Linked DNA regions of Stegostoma tigrinum. The protein of the gene in region 3 interacts with the protein of the main gene of each other region in a biochemical or structural test. Links are inferred from orthologs where the notes say so. Each region holds a gene or a part of one and is shown on either strand. Other genes may lie near its edges.

Region 1 (3,755 bases), on a different chromosome or scaffold from region 3:
AGGGTCTAGGCCCGAAACGTCAGCCTTCCTGCTCTTCTGATGCTGCTTGGCCTGCTGCATTCATCCAGCTCTACACCTTGTTATCTCAGTCTTGTCCAGCTGTCAGATTTCTCCTGAACCTCTGGTTCCAGGATTGTTCTCCCTGGAGCAATTCAGTGAATCTTGTCTACACCATCACAAGGACCATCATTTCCTACAACTTGGCACAATGCTGCAGTTGTGGCATATACTGCTTCTTCCTATTCTTTTGACCAAAATGTATCACCTCTCACTTCTCTGCAATGAATTCTATCTGCAATTTGCTACCCATTTTGCTTTACCATCTTACAGTTCATTGGTATCATCCTGTATGTTTACCGCAGGTCCACATGTAACACAATCAGCAAATTCTGGAATTTTTTCCTACATTGTATTTCTGAATGACTTGGATAGAGCAATGCTACCAGCATTGACCCTTAAGAGTTACATATCTTAAATGAATCAAGAGCTCACATCACTCAACACTCCATCCCTTCATTCCCAGGGTTACATACGAGCTCAAAGTTATTTCATGGGTTTCCTCATCACAATGCAAAAACCCAAGAACACAAATAGGAGTACGTGTTATGGCCTTTCCAGTCTGTTTTGTCATTCAGTATGATCATTGCTGATCCAATCACAACTTTAACTCCATTTTCCGACTGTTGCCCAACACTTCAAACTCACCTGTAGTTCAGGAACCTTCTACAACACTCAAACAGAATTGTGAAGAGGTATGGCTTAATCTCCCTAATCGTATGATCCTAATCTTTCATACTACATTTCTTTTATTTCTCCAAATATTCAGTTCTCTATCCGAAATGCTTCAACTCAATTCGTAGAATATTTGAAAAGCTAGACACACCTCCGAGGGCACCTCCTGAAACTTAGAAGGAAACGCACTGGATCCGAATTGAAGGAATAAAATGGGTCTTCCTTCAGTTTTCGCTAGAAGAAAGATGGTACCCAGCGAGTGTAGAAAGGCACTATTTCTGTTTCAAACGATAGTATTAGGTGAGCCCTGCATCATTCATTTTAGCAGATGACGAACGTGAAATAAATTTTACAGTAAAAATCTTTAAGAGGTTTTAGAGAACAGAAAAAAACTGCAACAGTAGATTATGAAAATTTGTTTTCATTCCAACGGAAACTCTTTTGGAGTACACATTGAAATATCTAACCGCGTCAGTGAATTCTGACCCGAACGTTTAGAAACACAAGTCAGTGACAACGGCAGCAATGCGTTTATTCCGTTATCGATTACTGTGTTCAAAAAGAACTCCCTTAACGATTTAAAAAGTGAAAGAGCTGCGGATGCTGTAAATCAGGAACAAAAACAAAGTTGCTGAAAAAGCTCAGCGGGTCTGGCAGCACCTGTGAAGGAAAATAGTTAACGTTTCGGGTCTGAATAAGACAGTTCTGAGGAAGGGTCACAGATGCTGCTAGGCCTGCTGAGCTTTTCCAGCAACTTTGTTTTTGTCCCTTAACGAATTGTTTCCTATAAGGTTTTAGAATTTTAAACCACGTCTACAAGTTGCTTGATCAGTCCAAAAGGCCAGAGAAACTCATCTTCCTTACAAAACTAAATTGACACCCCCCCATAAAAACACAACGAAGCAATACAAGCACTCACCCAAACACACCAGCCGTCTGACACCAGGTACCAGGCCATCTGTGCCGCCAGTCCATGGCCATTGGCCCAGTCGGGTCGACTAGTTAATCCCAGATCGCCTTCACCATGATTGGGAGACAAGTACTGGGCGGCGTTTGCCCCGCTTTCCCGGCCGCTGCCGCCCTCATCGATTCCGTTCGGCCGATCGCCGTTTGTGGCGTCGCTGGGGGTAGGATCGCCGGGGTCGGGGACCCGCAGGGCAGCGGGGCCCGGGGGCAGGCTGAGGTTGGAATAGGCGCTAAAGAGGCTGATCGCCAACAGCGCTGCGCTCAGGGCCGTATAGGTCCGCAAGCTTGGCCAGGGGAAACGCTCAAGGAAAAGGAGCGGCATGGCGAAGCTGATGGCTGCGCTGCCGTTACCCCAGTGACCTGGCTTGAGACGGCACCGAGATTCCCGTTAACGCTCGGGCACGCAGAAACGGTCCCGTTCTAACTCGAGCCAACGATATCGGTGACGTCAGCACACAGGATGGGGGGAGAGCGAGCCGGAAACAACCTCCGGAAGTGACGTACTGAGACGACGCCGCCGGACGGAGAACCTCCCGAAGTGACGGGGATGTCGGATCGCACTGTCATGGAGATAGTCTCCATGGTTACCGAGTCAGTTAGTCATGCCTGCAGTCATCAATAACAGCTCTTTGGAGGACGGTATTAACAAATATACATTTTGACGCATTCCTTACTAAGCTTAGAGTTACAGAATTCGCTCATAATATTCTGAAGTAGTTATTATAGGTTTAATCATCATTGCTGGTGGCATCACCCCGGTCTCGTGCCGTCTGCTGCTGAGACCCTTATCCATACTGTTGTCCTCTGTTTTTCAGTATTACAGTTTCTCTTCTCAACTATCCCGTCCTCTTCGAACTTAAACCAATCCAAACTTTCGCTGATTGCTTGCATCATGTTCTGTTTGCCCATCACCTAACATGCTCACCAATCTGGATTCAAACACAGTAGTTGCGGGAAAAGCTCAGCAGGTCTGGCCGCATCCGTGAAGAAGAAGTAGGATTTCGGGTCAGGCGACCCTTCCTCAGAACTGTTGTGGCTTACTGTGATTTTTCTTCACAAATGCTGGCAGACCTGCTTCCGCTTTTCCTGCAACTTCCGTTTTTGTTCCTGATTTACAGCCTCCACATTTCTTTCCGTTTTCACCAATCTAGATTAGCTTGTTTGAATAGTAAATCCGGAAATGGATGAAAAGCTATCTTGCCCAGCCTCAGTTTCATCTAAATCCCATCCCACCTTTAGACTTCCTTTCTACTCAGAAACTCACTTCCCATGTCTATCATTTCCCAATTCCCTGGCTGTTCGATGGCCCAAGATCTCTGTTATCACAATGGCCCAGGCTCAAATTTCTTTCTTGACTGTTGCAACCACTAACTGATGTTTTCATGAAACATTAATCAAATAACTCCCTCCAACCCAGAACATAGGAACTACAATTATAAAAAAAACCCTGTTTAATCAATGAAAGGCCATGTAAGAGCATGGAAAGAAAAGGAAGACTGGAAAGGAAATAGAAGAGAAAGGAGGTGAAGGAATTGATTTACTGAAAAATTAAGCAAGAACAATAGGCAAAAAAAGAATGAGGCAAGCAGAGAGATGGACAAGTGGATTGTTCACAATTGGTACGCTGGTAAAATGGAAGGACACTCTACTTTCACAGATGTTGCTGCCATGCTGCATATTTTCATGGACACTGGCAAAATCTAGATTATTTGGGTTAGTCCTGCATTACAGAATCTCTGTATAAGCAGTGCTGAATGCTTGGAAAAAGGTTCTACAATGTCTCCAATGTTTACTAAACATGGGAGCAGACGTAAACAAGGTTTGATGATCTGAGAAAATATGCCAGGATAAGACTTTACAGTGTTACCTTTGTTAAAGTAGATGAGCAAACTATAATAATGACAAGGTGTTTGATTATGATATGTTATATATTTAATGCTCTCATTAAAAGCACACAGCAAACTCATAGCTCCTCCAAACATACACGGGCAATAACAAAGGACATAACTTCCAGCTGCAACTGACATCATGAAATTGTGTCATAATTACATTTAAAA
Region 2 (3,755 bases), on a different chromosome or scaffold from region 3:
GAGGACCTGGACGTGTATCTGCATAGAACACTGAAGGTAATGGGAATGATGGAAGCAGTTAAACAGTTCTGTGCATTTTTTAAAAAAGGGGCAGAGAATACAAAAGCAAGGAGGGAAAGCTGAACTTATTCAAGACACTTGTTAGATCTCAGCTGGACTACTGTGCTTTGTTTGGGTACCACACTGATGTAAGGATGTGAATGCATTGGACAGAGTTTAGAAGAGATTTACAAAAATGCTTCCAAAGATAAATACCTTCAGTTATGAGCATTGATGGCAGATATTGGGACTGGAGGCAGCTAAAAAGCAGCTTCAGTAGAAGTTTTCAAAATCATGGCGAGATCTGGATAGAATTTATAGCAAGAAACTGTTCCTGCTCATAAAATGATCCACAACAAGAATGCAGAAATTTAAAAGATACTTGTAAATATGGTGAATGAGATGTCAAAAAAAAGCTTTCACACATGGTTTAGACCCCCTGGAAATGTGGTTGAGCCAGATTCAGAGGCATTCAAGATGGAAATAGATGATTATTTAAGTAAAAACAAGATGCAAAGGTACAAGAAAAAAAAAGCAGGAAAACAGCACTAAGCCATAATGCTCGTTGGCTAGCTGGTGCAAACACAAAGCCAGCATGGCCTCCTTCTGCACCATAATGTGCCTCCAATTCTGAAGAAATTGTTATGCAAACAGAAAAATAAGAGTAAAGCTTGAATTATTGTAGTATCTACACCATGTTTTCCAAGTACAGATGCAAACACTGAGCTACTAAAAGCTGTACATCTGTTGAGTTCTGAAATGAAAAAAAACATAGCTCGCACTGAAGCCATTCAACTGCACAAAGTAGTAACGGTCACCTACTATTACTTTTTTTTCCTTCTTCCTGAACTGAAGAATCAGGACACCATTCTGGGAGATAGGGTTACCCCTTTCTCCACAGCATGACAGTAACTCAGTCAAGTCCCAGAAGCAACTCCCAGGCCAGGCCGACGAGGGCAGCAAGTCGCAAAGGGGGTCCCGGGCCAGGCCAGCACAGGGACATTGAGTCCTGGGACGGAGGCCAGTGCAGATGCAGCAAGTCGTGGACCAGAAGCAAGGCCCTTGGGGACTGGAAGCTCAAGATCTGAGGCCTAGTGGGTCTAGAGACTTGGCCTGGGCAATCTGAAGGCTCGGTACTGGCACAGACTAAAATTTGAGTACTTTTTAAAAAGAAAACTTGTTTATCCTTACACTGAATTTTTATTTGCAATTCTTTCAAGTCTGCAACACATACTTAAGTGTTCTGTACCTAAGCACCCTGTTCCTAAGAAGCTGCCAAAATAGTGACATTACAAACTTTTCACTGCACTCATTCAAGTGCACTTGATAATAAAGGCTTATTCAAATTCTTTACAACTGCATCCCAGGATAATTAAAGTTGGGGAAAAAATGAGAAAGACATAAATCAGCTGCTTAAGGCCAATGGCACAACTTCAATGGAAACCAATAAACATTTAAATATAAATTGAAAATAAATGTGACAGAGAAAGGCTCAGTAGAGGAAGGAAAGCCACCCTGCGCAAGGGGGCTTGGAAAAGCAAACATAGAAAAAAAACACAAACAGCAAATAGGCATGTACAATGGATTTGTTTGTATTCTGTACTGTGGGGATTCTGTGATTCCAAAATTCATTCCTGCTTTGGTGCAGAATACAAACAAGTTAGTTAAAAAGCAAGGGGACTTTATCCATTACAATTGAATACATAAATATTACACCAAATCAGCAGAGAATACACAAAATGTAGTGCTGCAAATCAGCTTGCAAAATGATCATACCTTATCCACTTTAACTATGTAGGCCTTACAACACAGTCCAGTCCTTTGACAATTGGATTCTACTTGAACACAACATTGCATGCTGATGTCTGATGCACTAGTCTATTCTAGACAGCAAATGTAATTTGTGAAAATGGTAAGCCAGCAAACAAACACTTAATAGCTAATTGAAAATTAGCTCATAGGAGCAGCATTAATACAGAGGACATGTACACTGCTTGCACAGATCAATGTGCCAACTATCTCGACATGAGATATTCACACAACTAAACCCAAGTCAGAGTGATACAAGGACAGAACATTCCAGCTTGGGCCTAGCATCGCTGAGCGCCTCCTCACTCACACTTAGTTACACAGCCGACAGAAAAGCGACCCAACTTATAATACCAAGTTCCTTTATTTTAAAACAAAATTGGAGGTGCATTCTAACTTCTTCATATCACCCACACAAAAGCCATTGAGGAATATTTTCTTCAAACTCACCGCTTTCTGATACTAAATACGGACACGAACACCAAGACAACACTCTCTGCACATGCTCCGTCCGAGACGACTTCGGACCCTAGAGCGCATGTGCTGTTCGGCTTGACGATCGGATCGCAGCACGCATGCGTACTCCCCGTTGACGGCCGAACCCCAGGGTGCATGTGCCCATCTGCTCGGGTTGCCCGCATCTGTCAAATAAGTATCATTTTATGCATGCTCCGATATAGGGGACGAAACTTCCTTTGCTAATGCTTCAAGTGGTGATGATAGGCTTGGTAACTGATATGCTGTTCAGCAGATACAGAACATAGAACAATACAGCGCAGAACAGGCCCTTCGGCCCTCGATAATAAAATGTGAGGCTGGATGAACACAGCAGGCCCAGCAGCATCTCAGGAGCACAAAAGCTGACGTTTCGGGCCTAGACCCTTCATCAGAGAGGGGGATGAAGGGTCTAGGCCCGAAACGTCAGCTTTTGTGCTCCTGAGATGCTGCTTGGCCTGCTGTGTTCATCCAGCCTCACATTTTATTATCTTGGATTCTCCAGCATCTGCAGTTCCCATTATCTCTTCGGCCCTTGATGTTGCGCCGACCTGTGAACTAATCTAAGCTCCTCCCCCTACACTATCCCATCATAAAATGCCCCTAATGTGGCTGAGTTAACTACATTGGCAGGCAGGGCATTCCACGCCCAATATTTGATATTTTCTTGTTTATAAATTAATTATATATTAAATAGTAAAACTGACAGTGACACAAAGCTTTATTTTTAAGGATAAATAAACCTTGTTCTGTATTGAAGTCAATTTGTGAAATCAGAATTAAAGCTCAGAAACAAGCCATTCAGTAGAACAGACTGACGCAATGCTTATGAATCACATGAGCCTCTTCATGTCGTTCATCTAACTCTTATCAATATATTATCTTATTCTCTTCACCCTTCATCTAACCTGATCAACATATTATTTTCTGAAGAAGGCTCTAGGCCCAAAATGTCAGCCTTCCTGCTCCTCTGACGCTGCTTGGCCTGCTGTGTTCATCCAGCTCTACACCTTGTTACAACATATTCTTTTATTCCTTTCATTCTTTAGGTGTTGCCTGTCTCTTCTGAGGTCCACCCTCTTTACAGAGGTTTCTCCTGGATTTAGTGCTGACTATCTTATCATAGAATCCCTACAGTGCAGAAATTCAGCATCAAGTCTGCACTAACTCTACATTCATTCACTGGCTGGGAATTCCTTATGGCCCCTCTTCTTGACATGATCCTCAAATGGAAATGGCTTATACGTACACTTTTAACTCATAAAGACATATATCAGGTCACCCTTCAACATGCTTTTGAGAGAAAACAACCTAATCAGTTGGATAATAATTTTGTCATGGTGGTAATTCGAGAAGTAGGAAATATGATGCCGTGGTGTATTTCATTTTAGTGCAGATATTTACTTTGTCAG
Region 3 (3,755 bases):
TGGTGTGGGGGGGGAGTGTGTGTGGGGGGGGTGGTGTGTGGGGGGGGGGAGTGTGTGGGGTGGTGGGGTGTGTGGGGGGGGGGGTGTGGTGGGGGGGGGGAGTGTGTGGGGGGGGAGTGTGTGGGGGGGGGGATGTGTGGTGGGGGGGGGAGTGTGTGGGGGGGGGGTGTGTGTGGGGGGGGGGTGTGTGGTGGGGGGGGAGTGTGTGGGGGGGGGGAGTGTGTGGGGGGGGGGGAGTGTGTGTGGGGGGGGGGTGTGTGTGGGTGGGGGGGGGGAGTGTGTGTGGGGGGGGAGTGTGTGTGGGTGGGAGTGTGTGTGGGGGGGAGTGTGTGTGGGGGGAGTGTGTGTGGGGGGGGAGTGTGGTGTGGGGGGGGTGTGTGTGGGGGGGGGGAGTGTGTGTGGGGGGGGGAGTGTGTGTGGGGGGGGGAGTGTGATGTGGGGGGGGGGGGAGTGTGGTGTGTTGGGGGAGGAGTGTGTGGGTGGAGAGTGTGTGGGTGGAGAGTGTGGGGTGGAGAGTGTGTGGGTGGAGAGTGTGTGGGTGGGGGGGTGTGGTGTGTGGGGGTGTGTGTGTGGGGGGGGGGGTGTGTGTGTGTGGTGGGGGGGGGTGTGTGTGTGTGGTGGGGGGGGAGTGTGTGTGTGGTGGGGGGGTGTGTGTGTTGGGGGAGGAGTGTGTGTTGGGGGAGGAGGTGTGTGGGTGGGGGGTGTGTGGGTGGGGGGGGTGTGTGTGTGTGGGGGGGGGGAGTGTGTGTGTGGGGGGGGGGGGGTGTGTGTGTGGGGGGGGGGAGTGTGTGTGTGGGGGGGGGGGGAGTGTGTGTGGGGGGGGGAGGTGTGTTGGGGGGGGGAGTGTGTGTTGGGGGGGGAGCGTGTGTTTGGGGGGGGAGCGTGTGTTGGGGGGGGGAGCGTGTGTTGGGGGGGTGGGAGCGTGTGTTGGGGGGGGGAGCGTGTGTTGGGGGGGGGGAGCGTGTGTTGGGGGGGGGGGGAGCGTGTGTTGGGGGGGAGCGTGTGTTGGGGGGGGTGTGTGTGTTGGGGGGGGGAGCGTGTGTGTTGGGGGGGGGGAGCGTGTGTGTTGGGGGGGGGAGCGTGTGTGTTGGGGGGGGAGCGTGTGTTGGGGGGGAGCGTGTGTTTGGGGGGGGGAGCGTGTGTTGGGGGGGGAGCGTGTGTTGGGGGGGGAGGCAGGTGTGTTGGGGGGGGGAGCGTGTGTTGGGGGGGGGAGCGTGTGTTGGGGGGGGGAGTGTGTGTGTTGGGGGGGGGAGTGTGTGTTGGGGGGGGGGAGTGTGTGTTGGGGGGGGGAGTGTGTGTTGGGGGGGGGAGTGTGTGTTGGGGGGGAGTGTGTGTTGGGGGGGGAGTGTGTGTTGGGGGGGGAGTGTGTGTTGGGGGGGGGGAGTGTGTGTTGGGGGGGGGGAGTGTGTGTTGGGGGGGGGAGTGTGTGTTGGGGGGGGGGGAGCGTGTGTTGGGGGGGGAGCGTGTGTTGGGGGGGGGAGCGTGTGTTGGGGGGGGGAGTGTGTGTGTTGGGGGGGGGAGTGTGTGTTGGGGGGGGAGTGTGTGTTGGGGGGGGGAGTGTGTGTTGGGGGGGGAGTGTGTGTTGGGGGGGGAAGTGTGTGTTGGGGGGGGAGTGTGTGTTGGGGGGGGGGAGTGTGTGTTGGGGGGGGGGGAGTGTGTGTTGGGGGGGGGAGCGTGTGTGTTGGGGGGGAGCGTGTGTTGGGGGGGGAGCGTGTGTTGGGGGGGGGGAGTGTGTGTTGGGGGGGGGGGAGTGTGTGTTGGGGGGGGAGTGTGTGTTGGGGGGGGGGAGTGTGTGTTGGGGGGGGAGCGTGTGTTGGGGGGGAGTGTGTGTTGGGGGGGGGAGTGTGTGTTGGGGGGGGGGGGGAGTGTGTGTTGGGGGGGGAGTGTGTGTTGGGGGGGGGGGAGTGTGTGTTGGGGGGGGAGTGTGTGTTGGGGGGGGGAGTGTGTGTTGGGGGGGGGGAGTGTGTGTTGGGGGGGGAGCGTGTGTTGGGGGGGAGTGTGTGTTGGGGGGGGGAGTGTGTGTTTGGGGGGGGGGAGTGTGTGTTGGGGGGGGAGTGTGTGTTGGGGGGGGGGGGAGTGTGTGTTGGGGGGGGAGTGTGTGTTGGGGGGGGGGGAGTGTGTGTTGTGGGGGGGGGGAGTGTGTGGGGGGGAGTGTGTGTGTGTGGGTAATTGGTGGGGAGTGTCGCAGGTTCTGAGGACACACACGGAGGGAAAACGCGAGTGGGTGCGGTGGGGGGGGGAATAGGGAACCACCTTCACCCCAGCTCCTGGCTCACACCCCCAAGCTTCCCCCACCACCCCCCCGTCCCGCGGCCTACTCCCTCAGGCCTGGCTCCGGGCCCTCACTCCCTCCTGCGGCCCGTGGCGCACTCACCCTGGTTCCCGATCCCGCTCCGGGCTCTCCGCCGCCTCGGAAGTGGAGCAGCCGGGACGAGGGTGTTGGTGCAGCTCCCTGCCGGCGGTGATGAACAGGCCCGTGTCTCGCCACCCACCGGCCGCTCTCTCTGTGACCGTCTCCGCGCTCGGCACCGTCCCCGAGAAGCAGTGCGCCTGCGCACTCCCCGCCAGGCCCCCTCCGGCAACCATGGAGACCGCGGCTGCCCCGCTCCCGCCTGCCTGCACACTCACTGTCTCTGCCTGTACACACTCACAGCCTGCACACGCTCACATTCACTGCCTGTACACACTCACAGCCTGTATAGTCATGCTCACTGCCTGTACACACTCAGCCTGTGCCCAGTCATTTTCCTCACACACTGACAGTCTGTGTACAGTCATTGCCCGTACACACTCATTGCCTGTTCACACTCTCAGCCTATACACAGTGACTGTCTGCGCATATGCACCACCTGTACACACTAACAGCCTGTGCATGTCACACTCAGTCTGTACAATCACGCTCACCGTCAGTACACACTGCATGTACACAGCTACAGCTTGTACACACACAGCGACAGTTTGTACACACACACACTACCTGCTCAGATTCACACTCACAGTTTATACACACTCACTGCATGTACACATTCACAGTCTCCACACCCTTGCAGCAGATATACTGTCACAGCCAGTACATCCTCACAGTCTGTACACACTTACTAACTGTGGACACAGTCTGTACACACTCACAGCATGTACACAGTCACTGCCAGTACATGCTCACAGCTGTACACAATCTGTCTGTACACTTTCCAGACTGTACATACACACTGCATGTACACACTCACTGCCTGTTCACAGTCTGTACACACTTACTGACTATAACTCCCTGCCTTATGCACTCACTTTCACTGACTGTATACACTCACTGTATGGACACACTGCCTTTACAGAGGCACACTCACATTCTGTACACACTCATTACATGTACTCACACAGCCTGAATACACTGCCTGTACACAGTCACAGTCTGTACAGTGTCACTGTCTGTACATGCTCACTGCCTGTACACTATCACTGACTGTATACTCTCACTGCCTGTACACAGCCACAGCCTGTACACAGTCACAATCTGTGCACACACAGTCTGCACACTGTCACATTCTGTACACTGTCACAGTCTATAAACACTCACTGCCTGTACACACATTCTGTTTGCACCCGCAGCAAGTACAGTCACAATCTGTGCACACACAGTTGGTACACTGTCACAGTCTGCACACACACTCACTGCCTTTACACAGTCTGCCTGTACACATTCCCTGACTGGACATACTCACAGTCTGTACACAGTCACACTCATACTGTGATATAGC

Evidence for each region.
Region 1: the proteins of large proline-rich protein BAG6-like (region 3) and amfra form a complex in vitro, tested with the Homo sapiens proteins (2 studies listed by BioGRID, with this or other methods). The link is inferred for Stegostoma tigrinum from reciprocal best matches to the Homo sapiens genes BAG6 and AMFR.
Region 2: the proteins of large proline-rich protein BAG6-like (region 3) and small glutamine-rich tetratricopeptide repeat-containing protein alpha-like form a complex in vitro, tested with the Homo sapiens proteins (4 studies listed by BioGRID, with this or other methods). The link is inferred for Stegostoma tigrinum from reciprocal best matches to the Homo sapiens genes BAG6 and SGTA.

What each region holds. Positions count from the first base shown.
Region 1 is NC_081369.1:10,286,913-10,290,667, reverse strand, and holds the start of amfra (autocrine motility factor receptor a), read right to left. Parts: upstream 2,187-3,755; 5' UTR 2,021-2,186; coding exon 1,652-2,020; intron 1-1,651. UniProt on the Homo sapiens protein: E3 ubiquitin-protein ligase that mediates the polyubiquitination of lysine and cysteine residues on target proteins, such as CD3D, CYP3A4, CFTR, INSIG1, SOAT2/ACAT2 and APOB for proteasomal degradation.
Region 2 is NC_081383.1:7,848,551-7,852,305, forward strand, and holds the start of small glutamine-rich tetratricopeptide repeat-containing protein alpha-like, read right to left. Parts: upstream 2,433-3,755; 5' UTR 2,299-2,432; intron 1-2,298. UniProt on the Homo sapiens protein: Co-chaperone that binds misfolded and hydrophobic patches-containing client proteins in the cytosol. Mediates their targeting to the endoplasmic reticulum but also regulates their sorting to the proteasome when targeting fails.
Region 3 is NC_081387.1:19,777,258-19,781,012, forward strand, and holds the start of large proline-rich protein BAG6-like, read right to left. Parts: upstream 2,732-3,755; 5' UTR 2,375-2,731; intron 1-2,374. UniProt on the Homo sapiens protein: ATP-independent molecular chaperone preventing the aggregation of misfolded and hydrophobic patches-containing proteins.